2 linked regions of the Stegostoma tigrinum genome follow. The protein of the gene in region 2 interacts with the protein of the main gene of each other region in a pairwise test. Links are inferred from orthologs where the notes say so. Each region holds a gene or a part of one and is shown on either strand. Other genes may lie near its edges.

Region 1 (6,260 bases), on a different chromosome or scaffold from region 2:
TTTCTAAAGGTAATTGAAAAAAAAACAAACAGCATAAGGATTTTTTAAAAAATGAAGCCACTGGTTAAAATCTGGAATGCATTTCCTCAGTGAGGCTGAGGCACCTTTAACTGTATGTTTCAAAAAGGAATAGGATAATTATCTGATGAAATAAAAAAAAAAGCCCTACGGAGAAAATGCAGACGAGTGATACCGAATAACTCTCAAACAGCAGATATAGATATATTGAATAGAATACCTTCCTTCTGCACTGTGACCATTCTAAACTCCAGCAAACAATACAAAAGTACCAAACACTAACAGGATGCTTCAAAATACCACAATGGTGCTACTGTCACATGCAGAATGAAAGTATAATAGAAAAAAATTATGTACAAGTAATGTCTACAAGTCTCATGCTTAAAGGTCCAGTGAACACTTCTCATCACAGTAAAACCCCCTCTCAGATCCTACACAGACCAGCTGGCAGGAGTAGTCGCAGTCATCTTTAACCTCTCCTTCCTCTTGTGTGAGATTTGCACTTGCTTCAAGAAGACCACGATCACCCTAGTGCCAAAGAAAAATCAGTCAATGTTCTTTAATGGCTACCACTTGGTGGCTCTGACATCCATTATTATGAAGAGCTTCGAGAGCTTAGTAAAGACACGCATCAACTCCAGCCTCCCAGACTGCATTGGACCACGGCAATATGCTTACCATTGCAATAGGTCCATGGTAGACACCATTTCCTTGGCCCTAAACTCATCCCTTGAACATCTGGATAACAAGGACACCTACACATCAGGCTCCTATTTGACTTCAGCTCCGCCTTCAACACCATAATTTCAACCAAGATAACAAGGTGTGGAGCTGGATGAACACAGCAGGCCAAGCAGCATCTTAGGAGCAGGAAAGCTGATGTTTCAGGCCTAGACCCTTCACCAGAAATGGGTGAGAGGAAGGGGGTTCTGAAATAAATAGGGAAAGAGGGGGAGGTGGATCGAAGATGGATAGAGGAGAAGATAGGTGGAAGGAGGCAGAGGCAGCGGAAAAACTGCTCAATATCCAAATGTGACTGGTATTCGTTAATGTGTGGGTGGAGGGGGACAAAGATGAGCCTTTTACTGAGGACTGACCGTTCGTCCTCAGTAAGGGGGAGATCTAGGGGGCTGGTAAAGGCTCGGCAGGGCTCAGTGTTGCTGTATCCTCTGGAGCTGCTAGCTGTGGAGACTGTGGGTGTAGCGATGGCCTGCTGTGTTCATCCAGCTCTACAGCTTGTTATCCTGGATTCTCCAGCATCTGCAGTTCCTAATATCTCTGATATAATTTCAACCAAACTCACCTCTAAACTCTAAGACCTAGGTCTCTGCTACTCCTCTCTGCAACTGGATCCTTGACTTCCTGGCCTGCAGACCGCAATCACTAACAATAGGTGCTAACAACACTTCCATGATAATCCTCAGCACTGGAGCTTCATAAAGCTGTGTATTCAGCCCTTTATACACAAGACTGCATGGCCAAATTCAGCTCTAACTCCATTAATAAATTTGCCGATGACATCATTGTAGTGGGTCAGTTCACAAACAGCGACAAGGCAAATTAGAAAAAAAGAGAAGGACAGCTTAGTGGCATGGTGTAACAATAACAATGTTTTCCTCAATGTCAGCAAATAAAGGAGCTGGTTATTGACTTCAGAAAGTGGAGTGGAGGATACACCCCTTTCTGTATCAATGTTCCTGAGGTGGGGATGGTTGAAAGCTTCAAGTTCCTAGGGGTTAATATCACCAACAATCCATCCTGATCCATCCATGTGGACAGTATGGTCAAGACCAACACTTCTACTTTCTCAGAAGGCTAAGGAAATTCGGCACGTCCACAATGACCTTGACCAATGTTTAATTAATGCACAATAAACCATATTCTTTCTATCTGGATGTATCACAGCTGGGTATACAAGTACTCTGCCCAAGGCTGCAAGAGATTGGAGTGTTGTGAACGCAGCCCAATCCATCACAAAAACCATACACTCCTTGCCTTGGGAAAGCAGCCAACATCATCAGACACCCCTCCCACTCCTGTTATACTCTCTCTCATCCTCTTTCCTCAGGCAGAAGTTTAAAAACATGTACCAGCAGATTCAAGTACAGCTTCTTCCTTGCTGTTAACAGACTTATGAATGGATCTCTCATATATTAGAGTTGATTTTTCTCTGCAGCTGTAACAATACATTCTGAATTCTGTTCTATTACCCTGACGTATTATGTAAGGTACAATTTGTCCGAATAGCACACACAAAAGAATATTTTTCACTGTATCTTGGTACATGTGACAATAATAAATCAACAGTTGTCTCATTAAACATTCCCAACGTATCTACATCATGATTTGGGTACAATGTTCCTTGTCTACTGTCCCATCTATCACTTCCGGGACAGATTAAATACTGACTAAAGCTAAACCTCCACCTTCACAAACCAAATACTCCCAGGGTAGCATAGGTTATATTATGCTGTGAACTTGATGACTCTGGTAGATTTAAAAACAGGATTAATGCATATATGAGGAATAAGGACTGTATGTAAATATAAAATCTGACACTGACCAGATGAGCCAATTAGCCTATTTTTCTGTTGCGGATTCTGTACAATCAGGTGTCAATGGTTGCAATGACAAGATGTAACTATCGGTCCTCAGAGATGATATCAGTAATCCAATAGGCAGCACTGACACTCCCACACAATCTATTCAACAACAAACAAAGTTTGGAAATCCAGACATTTGTAGGAATTACATCACAGAAACTGGCCATTCAGCCCAACAGGGCACCCTGCTCCACATTCAGCAGGTTTGGCAAAACCCGAGGCAACAGAAACAAGAGTTAATGTTTCAGGTTGATGACTGAATCCTAACGAAAATCGTCGACCTGACACTTTTGGTCTCCACAAATGCTGCCGGATCTGCTAATATTTCCAGCATCCACAGTATTTCGTTTTGAATCTTAATAATTCTTAATAATTCAATTGCAAATAATTTAAACATTAAACTTCGTCCGATTGCAATCCTGTACAATATTGATCAGCAGAGGGGATAGATTGGGTTAAATATAATTCAGAGTACAATCTTTCAGCAAGCAAAAGAAAACTACAATTCCCACACTTCCGAGCGGCCAAAATGGACTACAGCTCCCAGGTTGCCGCACGCCTGCTACCTCTAGCTGGGCTGCAGAGGAACAGGCAGGCCCAAAGCGCTCCTCGGCCCCAACCCTGGGACGGAAGAGCCGATCAATGCTTCATGTTGCACCTGAACAGTCGAGTAGAAGGGGATATCTTTCCAACACCCTCTACGTAGGTATTTTAACTCGGCCACCTTTCCGCAAACACCACCCGGAAAGCGACCACTTTGGACGCACGTGGGCCCCTGGGTGAGGAGTTTTATTTGGACAACCATTTGAGGGAAGGGGAGTGGGAAGGAGTGATCGGAAATTTGGTTTCCCCCTGTCCCTCCTTTAACCAGCTCAGGGAACGTGGCTGCAGCTCTTCCCACGTGGATGCATTTGGAACCTCCGAATGTATCCATTCCGCTTTGGAATGTTGCCTGGAGCCGCCGCGTTCCAAACCCCGAATCCACGTGGAACCCGTCCTGGCCGCTGCAGCCCCGTCACTCAGCAAACAGTAGCAACAACACCGCATGCCCCCCTCCCTCCTGGGGCTCTGCAAGCTCCTCCATGCAGACAGCAGATGGAGCCTCGCTTGTTAGTAGCAAAAGAAAAATGAGATATATATAAAATGTATAAATGGGGAGAGAAAAGTACACACCTACAGAGACCTCCTATCACTTCTTTCTCACTCTTCCTGAAATCCTGGAATGAAGGTACCTTTTGAGTCGGCACCACGAAATATTCCATGTCTTGCACCTGGTGAAAATAATTGTGCACAAATAATAATAATCGCCTTAAATAAAAGGCTGGCTGAGTTCTGGTTCTCTGTGTGTGTTTCCAGCTGATCGCTCTATCAGATGGTTGTAAATGGCGGGAAACAGCTGGTGCCTTCGCAGCACCGCCGCCTCCTTCCGCCGGGACCGGGATTGCATGTAAACAAAGGACTATGCGCCAGTCCTGGCCGAGCCCCCGGACAGGGTGCAAGCAGAGTCCGGTTTGCTTCTGCAAATTAGAAAGAAGGACGCTACCGGGGCCAACTGAGAGGGGAGGAAATGGGCAGTGGTCCGTTAAAGGTGGGTGGGGGGATATGTTTCTGCATACGCCACTACGTGTGTGGGGTGAAGCGGCTCATCAGCTGACGGGCTGGCAACGCCGAGAGGAAAAGCAACAGCTTCTGTGACATTGGAGCAGCTGAGAACACAGAGAGGCGCAAATCCAACCCCCGCCCGCCCACTTACTCCAACTCTGCTTTAAAGAGACACCACATATCATCTTGCACATTTCAAGGCAGCAATCAGGTCCTATTTTACCTTTGCCTTTTACCAAGTGTACTTAAGAGAAAGCTTCGATCTTGACCAGTGAGGAACGGACTGCCGGGGAATTCAAGGGAATGCAACACAAGCCCGAGAATTCCAATGTTAAAATATTATCGGCTTCTCTATCCTTGGAGCACCACAGAAAACGACATTTTTTTTCCTCTGAAAGGAATAGAAAATTGCAGAATTCATCCTGCCTATGAACACAGGGTAGGCGTGATGCTGCCCACCTACCACAAAGAAAGAATTGCTCAGAAAAAGTAGGATAAAGTGCCTGCCAAGCAGGTAGCCACAAAGTTCCATGCCATTGTTTCCTTTCGTTTGGACAATTCGAAGTGGGATTCAGTCATTTTTTTTGTAGCTTTTCAAATCCTAGGGTATATCCTCATTATTAGGGCAGTGGGCAGATTGACTAGATCTCGTCCTCCTTGCTAACAACACGCCCACCCCCACATCATCATCAAATACTTGTGTGGGAATTACTTAGTAAGCAACACTTTGATTAAAATTACAGATAGCAATTTTGTGACAGGATTACAAATCTATCGTTGCTACAGTATTTTGCATTAACATAGCACCGTTAAAGGCCCAAGGCAGTTTATGGAACGTTATGGAATAACATTTCATAATGAGGCACATAACATTATATTAGGTCAGATGACCTAAAATTGTGTTGAAGAGGTAGACTTTAAGGAGTGATTAAATGTGGGAAGAAATAGTAGAGAGGCAAAGGTTTATGGAGGGAATTCCAGAGTTTGAAACATATAGATAACCTTCTTAAATTTCCTAGCATATTCCTGGCTAAACCAGCATAGGCTCTCCATCCCTAACTGTGCTGGAGAAGCTGCTTTCTCAAACTCTTGCATCCTTAGGATGGGTATACTCACAGTGCTGTTAAGGAAGAAGCTCCAGGATTTTGAAGGAGCAATAGTATTCTTCCAAGTCTGGATGGTGTGTGGTTTCAATGGAAATTTACAGTTAGTGGTATTCTTATATATCTGATGCTTGACCTTTCTGTTGATAGAAATCATAGATTTGGAAGGCAGACTCTCTAAGAGTGGAGACCGGAGTGATGACAATCTGGAATTTCAAAAAGGCCAGGATCTGTGCTAGGAAGGGAGGTAATTAGAGAGCTTGAGATGGGATACACTTCATGGAATGGTTGAAAAAGACAAGAAGTTTCATATCGGTGTTATTTGGTGAGTGGGACTCAACTCTGCCATGTGTGCCAGAACTTTGAATGATCTCAGGTTTATGGAAGATAGAACATTGACAGCTGGTAAGAAGTGCATTGGGATAGTCATCAGGCAAAGTTATTCAAGTGGAAACAGGCGGTTGTAATGACGGTATAGGTGCACAGTAAGAAGCTCTTTTCAGTGATGTGAAACATTCAGTTAGTGAACAGTCTAGTTCCACCTGAAAAAAGGGAAAGAGCTGGAGTTGGTAGGTAGAAAAAGCAGCTTGTGTTGGAAAACAAAGATACTCACCATCACCTTGCCAATATTTAACTGGACAAAATAACTGCTTACCTGGTTCTGGATGTCCGAATAGCAGCCGGATGATTTAGAAATAGAGGAGGGGCTAACAGGTAGAGCTTAATGTCATCAATGAACATATGGAAGTTGACACCATGCTTTTGGATAACATTACCAATGAACAAATGAGAAAAAGAAAGGGTTGTGATGTTGATGAGGGGCATATCTGTGGAATATTAGGATGAAGAAATGTAACGGTTCTAGGGAAAGAGACAAGCTTATGAAAGGTCAAGAAAGTGTGGCTTAATGAATTGGTGGCTGTTGAGATATTGT
Region 2 (6,260 bases):
ATATTTTAAATACATTTTCATGACACGTCACACCCTAAGCATCACTCTGCACTCTCACCCACCACCTCACAATTTCTCACCTTCCCCCATTCTGTGTCCCCCTTTCTCAGACCCTCCTTCCCCCCATACCCATCCTCTCCCCACCATTCTCATTCTCTCACCCATCCACTTTCCCCATTCTCTCCCCCTTCCCACATTCTGTCTTTCTCTCCCTCTTCCCCATTCCCATTTTCTCCCCTTCCCACCATTCTCTCTCATTCCCTCCCCCTTCCCCATTCTCATTCTCTGTCCCTCCTTCCGCCCCCATACCCATCCTCTCCCCACCATTGTCTCACCCCTCCCCCAAATCTCATTCTCTCACCCCTCACCCTATTCCCATTCTCTCTCCCTCTCTCTCTCTCCCCCCACCATTGTCTCTTGTCTCTCTCTCTCTCCTTCTCCATTCCGTTGTCTCTCTCTCTCCCCTTCTTCCCCTCTCTCTCTCTCCCTCCCCTCCATTGTCTGTCTCTTCTTCTCCCCACCATTGTCTCTCTCTCTCTCTCTCTCTCTCCCCCCATTCTCTCTCTCTCCCCCCCATTCTCTCTCTCTCTCCCCCCCATTCTCTCTCTCTCCCCACCATTCTCTCTCTCTCTCCCCCCCATTCTCTCTCTCTCCCCACCATTCTCTCTCACTCTCTCTCTCCCCCCCATTCTCTCTCTCTCTCTCTCCCCCATTCTCTCTCTCTCTCTCCCCCCCCCATTCTCTCTCTCTCTCTCTCCCCCCCATTGTCTCTCTCTCTCTCTCCCCCCATTGTCTCTCTCTCTCTCTCCCCCCATTGTCTCTCTCTCTCTCCCCCCCATTGTCTCTCTCTCCCCCCCATTGTCTCTCTCTCTCTCTCTCTCTCTCTCTCTCCCCCCCATTGTCTCTCTCTCGCTCCCCCCCATTCTCTCTCTCTCCCCCCCATTCTCTCTCTCTCCCCCCCATTCTTTCTCTCTCCCCCCATTGTCTCTCTCTCTCTCTCCCCCCATCGTCTCTCTCTCTCTCCCCCATTCTCTCTCTCTCTCTCCCCCCATTCTCTCTCTCTCTCCCCCCATTCTCTCTCTCTCTCCCCCCATTCTCTCTCTCTCTCCCCCCATTCTCTCTCTCTCTCCCCCCATTCTCTCTCTCTCTCCCCCCATTCTCTCTCTCTCCCCCCATTCTCTCTCTCTCTCCCCCCATTCTCTCTCTCTCTCCCCCCATTCTCTCTCTCTCTCCCCCCATTCTCTCTCTCTCCCCCCATTGTCTCTCTCTCTCCCCATTGTCTCTCTCTCTCTCTCCCCCATTGTCTCTCTCTCTCTCCCCCTATTGTCTCTCTCTCTCTCTCCCCCCCATTGTCTCTCTCTCTCTCTCCCCCATTGTCTCTCTCTCTCTCTCTCTCTCCCCCCATTGTCTCTCTCTCCCCCATTGTCTCTCTCTCTCTCTCCCCCCATTGTCTCTCTCACCCCCCCATTGTCTCTCTCTCTCTCTCTCCCCATTCTCTCTCTCTCTCCCCCCCCATTGTCTCTCTCTCTCTCTCTCCCCCATTCTCTCTCTCTCTCCCCCCCCATTGTCTCTCTCTCTCTCTCCCCCATTCTCTCTCTCTCTCCCCCCCCATTGTCTCTCTCTCTCTCTCTCCCCCCATTGTCTCTCTCTCCCCCATTGTCTCTCTCTCCCCCATTGTCTCTCTCTCCCCCCATTGTCTCTCTCTCCCCCCATTGTCTCTCTCTCCCCCCATTGTCTCTCTCTCTCCCCCCATTGTCTCTCTCTCCCCCCATTGTCTCTCTCTCTCCCCCCCCATTGTCTCTCTCTCTCCCCCATTGTGTCTCTCTCTCCGTCTCTCCCCCATTGTGTCTCTCTCCCCCTATTGTCTCTCTCTCTCTCTCTCCCCCCCATTCTCTCTCTCTCTCCCCCCATTGTCTCTCTCTCCCCCCATTGTCTCTCTCTCTCCCCCCCCATTGTCTCTCTCTCTCCCCCATTGTGTCTCTCTCTCCGTCTCTCCCCCATTGTGTCTCTCTCCCCCTATTGTCTCTCTCTCTCTCTCTCCCCCCCATTCTCTCTCTCTCTCCCCCCATTGTCTCTCACTCTCTCCCCCCCATTGTCTGTCTCTCTCTCCCCCCCATTGTCTGTCTCTCTCTCTCTCCCCCCATTGTCTGTCTCTCTCTCTCTCCCCCCATTGTCTGTCTCTCTCTCTCTCCCCCCATTGTCTGTCTCTCTCTCTCTCCCCCCATTGTCTGTCTCTCTCTCTCTCCCCCCATTGTCTGTCTCTCTCTCTCTCTCCCCCCCATTGTCTGTCTCTCTCTCTCTCTCCCCCCCATTGTCTCTCTCTCTCTCTCTCTCCCCCCCATTGTCTCTCTCTCTCTCTCTCCCCTCCTTTGTCTCTCTCTCTCTCTCTCCCCCCATCTCTCTTTCTCTCTACCCCCATTGTCTCTCTTCCCCCCAATCGTTTCTCTCTCCCCCCGTTGTCTCTCTTTCTCTCTCTCCCCCCGTTGTCTCTCTCTCTCTACCCCCTATTGTCTCTCACTCTCTCCCCCCCATTGTCTCTCACTCTCCCCCCCCATTGTCTCTCACTCTCCCCCCCCATTGTCTCTCTCTCTCTACCCCCTGTGGTCTCTCACTCTCCCCCCCATTCTCTCTCTCTCTCCCCCCATTGTCTCTCACTCTCCCCCCCATTGTCTCTCACACTCCCCCCCATTGTCTCTCACTCTCCCCCCCATTGTCTCTCACTCTCTCCCCCCCATTGTCTCTCTCTCTCCCCCCATTGTCTCTCTCTCTCCCCCCCATTGTCTCTCACTCTCTCCCCCCATTGTCTCTCACTCTCCCCACACCATTGTCTCTCGCTCTCTCCCCCCCATTGTCTCTCACTCTCCCCCCACCATTGTCTCTCGCTCTCTCCCCCCCATTGTCTCTCGCTCTCTCCCCCCATTGTCTCTCGCTCTCTCCCCCCCCATTGTCTCTCGCTCTCTCCCCCCCATTGTCTCTCGCTCTCTCCCCCCCATTATCTCTCACTCTCTCCCCCCCATTGTCTGTCTCTCTCTCTCTCTTCTCCCCCCCCCCATTGTCTCTCTCTCTTCTCCCCCCCCATTGTCTCTCTCTCTTCTCCCCCCCCCATTGTCTCTCTCTCTTCTCCCCCCCCCCATTGTCTCTCTCTCTTTCCCCCCCGTCCGTCTCTTTCTCTCCCCCTCCATTGTCTCTCTTTCCCTCTCCCCCCATTGTCTCTCTCTGTCTTCCCCCCTCCCCCCATTGATTGATTGATTGATTGATTGATTGTTTGTTTTTTTTTTCTGTTTCTGTGTGTGTCTCTCTCTCCCTGTCTCTCACTCACTTGAATCCAGCCGCCATCCTTCTCGGTCTCTCTGAACCATGTGAACCTGGGAACTGGATTCGCAGATTCCGCGGAGAGGCCGGAACGGTTGTGAGCCTCTTTCCCTCATTGGACTACGCTGTATTTTTCCCTGCTTCGACTCCTGTAATCCCCGCTCTGTCTACGGCCAATCCCTTTCATGGGGTTTATTTTCTTATTTTTAGTTTAGTGTGGAATGTGCAGAACGGAAATGAAAGCCATGTGGCTGGTTGGTGCAGCATGATGATTGACAGCTGCAATCCGCATCTTCAGGAAACAATGTCTTACAGCTCGCATTCACCAGTCTGTATACATCTCATTGGCTTTTAAAATATACTGCATATCTAATTATGATTAAATTATACATTGTATTATTTCTAAAAATATAAATTTATAATATATCCTTTATAATGTATATTTTATAATACCTAATATTTTAAAGAGTCGGTGGTAATATAACTCACGAAGAATTCTCCAAATGTAGTCATGAATTGCGCTAAAAGTGTTACAGGTAATGCTGACAAATCATCTCAGTCCCAAGATATCTCTACAGGACTTCTTCAGGTAGTGTCCTGAGCCCAACTACCTTTAGCAACTTTTATCAAATACCATTCCTCCCACATATGGTCAAAGTGGAGTTGGTCCCTGGTGACTGCATGATATCATTTGAAATCGGACATGAATTGAATTGAATTAGGTTTTTGTCACATTACTCTCATGAGTACAATGAAAAATTTACAAGTATCCACATAAAGCACCATTTTAGGTACAAACGTACAAAGGTACCAACTCTTGGGTATAAAGCAGAAAAATATGAAAAACAAAGTTATAAAGTTAAACATTGCAGTTCTTCATGCTAAAAAGGGATGAGGAAACAAAGAAACATGTTAACAGTTCAACACCACGGTCCACAAGTACCTGGCCATGCTGGACTCACACTCCCCACAATGGCTTGACCCCCGCCCCCGGCTCTGAACACCCATTCTCACCCCTCGCCACCTGCTTCTGCTGTCGACCCCAGCCTCTTTTGGCTGCCTGCTCTAGGAGATGGATGTTGCAGGTTTTGAAAGTACAGTTGATGGAACCTTGGCAAATTGTAGCAGTGCGTCACATAAACGCTGCTGCCACTGTGTGACAGTGATGGAAGGATTGACTGTTTAAGGCAATAAACAAATTTTAAAATGTATAAAGCAATACCATTTATAAACAAACATTCCACACATCTAACTCTTATTAATATTGTTGTTTGAGTTGCTAACCAAGAATGTTGGTGTTACGGTCATTGGATCTCACTATTATTTTGGCTTACCATTGACCAGAAACTGAACTCTACATATTTTGCTACAAGAGCAGATCAGAGCCTTGGAATTTTGCAGTAAAGTATCCACCAAATCCTCAGGCCAGTCCACCATTCGTCAGCCTCAAGTCAGGGGTGTGATGGAATATTCTCAATGTTTCCTTCACCGTTGCTGGAATGAAATCCTGAAAGTTCCTCTGTAACGGATTTGTGGATGTACTGGTTGCATGATCTGCAGCAGTTTAAGGTGACATCTGGTCACCACCTTTTCGAGGGTAACTTTGGAAACACAATAAATGCTGGATTGTTGGTGACACTTATATGAAATAACAATAGTACAAAGCTATACCCTTTGTAAACAAATATTCCACACATCCAAGCTTACAAAGTGAAAAATGCAGGTACTACATTGTTGTTTGAGGGAATAACTTTGGCATTAACATGTGGAGTGGATGATGCCCGAATATTGTTTATGTCAATTTAAGAGCATTTGGAACGAGTTGAGCAGTTCTTTAAAGTTTCAACTCATCAGGAGTACCTTCCTGGGCATTTTATTACCGTATGTAGTGTAGCTACAGCATATGGGAGCTGGCAGATACCAATGTGACCCATATATCCATATCCTCAGGTGTTGCCTGCAACGTGAGGATATCAGTTGTCTGGAACTTAAAACTTAAAACAGATAACAAGAGTGTTTAAAAATATGCAAAAAGGAAGACTAACTTAAAATAAATATTGGCTCTTGGTCCCTTAGAAACAAAGAAGGAAAAAATATCATGGGAAATGAGGAAATGGCAAAGAAAAATATTTTGTCTCAGTTTTCTCTCTGGAAGACACCAGTTACAAGCAGAAATAGTAGGAATTGCAGATGCTGGAGAATCCAAGATAACAGGGTGTGGATAATAAAGTGTGAAGCTGGATGAACACAGCAGGCCAAGCAGCATCAAAGGAGCAGAAAGGCTGACGTTTCGGGTCGACGACACTAATCTGAAGAAGGGTCTCGACCCGAAACGTCACCCCTTCCTGCTCCTATGATGCTGCTTGGCCTGCTGTGTTCATCCAGCTCTACACCTTGTTATCTTACGAGCAGAAATAATGGGAGGTGAGGAACAGATGCAGAAGGAAAAAGGAGACTGGCACAGGGGATCTGAAATAGAGTTGATGCTTCCTAGGGGAATGGACGGACACAGGGAGCTGGGAAAAAGGGAAGTCCAAGGTCAGCAACGATCACACCGACAGACCCGCGCTGCATATGGATTCCTCCTGCTCCGCTCACTTCTTCACCTCTTCGCCCAAGGTATGGGAGCCTAAAAGGAGGGCACGGGTTTAAGGTCAGAGGGGAGAGATACAAAAGGATGCAAAGGGGCAGACCAGTCCTGTCACAGAGAGGGCGGTTGGGAGGCTGGAACCAAGCTGCCAGGGGTGGCGCTACAGTGAGAAGAGCCGTCGAGTTTGGGAGCCTCTTGCTGCCTGTAGCACCCTCGTCGATTCCGGCCGCGGGGTGCTGGCTTCCGCTTCGGTGTCCCGCTGCCATAGGCTCGCGAGGTTGTTAGGGTGGAAGCCGCTGGCGGTTATCGACCCCGGGTCATGGAGCTCCATTCCGGCGAAGTGCTGCAGGCAGTAGTC

The links. The genes of interacting proteins can lie anywhere in the genome.
Region 1: the proteins of exosc8 (region 2) and tfap4 interact in binary tests that used the Homo sapiens proteins (3 or more experiments, as listed by UniProt). The two-hybrid records come from large-scale screens. The link is inferred for Stegostoma tigrinum from reciprocal best matches to the Homo sapiens genes EXOSC8 and TFAP4.

Annotation. Positions count from the first base shown.
Region 1 is NC_081376.1:33,229,967-33,236,226, forward strand, and holds the start of tfap4 (transcription factor AP-4), read right to left. Parts: upstream 4,269-6,260; 5' UTR 3,884-4,268; coding exon 3,795-3,883; intron 2,964-3,794; exon of another isoform or gene 2,582-2,963; intron 728-2,581; exon of another isoform or gene 486-727; coding exon of another isoform or gene 460-485; intron 1-459.
Region 2 is NC_081359.1:85,239,349-85,245,608, reverse strand, and holds the start of exosc8 (exosome complex component RRP43), read right to left. Parts: upstream 3,533-6,260; 5' UTR 3,337-3,532; coding exon 3,320-3,336; intron 1-3,319. Other genes in the region: alg5 (dolichyl-phosphate beta-glucosyltransferase), read left to right, coding at 6,222-6,260. UniProt on the Homo sapiens protein: Non-catalytic component of the RNA exosome complex which has 3'->5' exoribonuclease activity and participates in a multitude of cellular RNA processing and degradation events.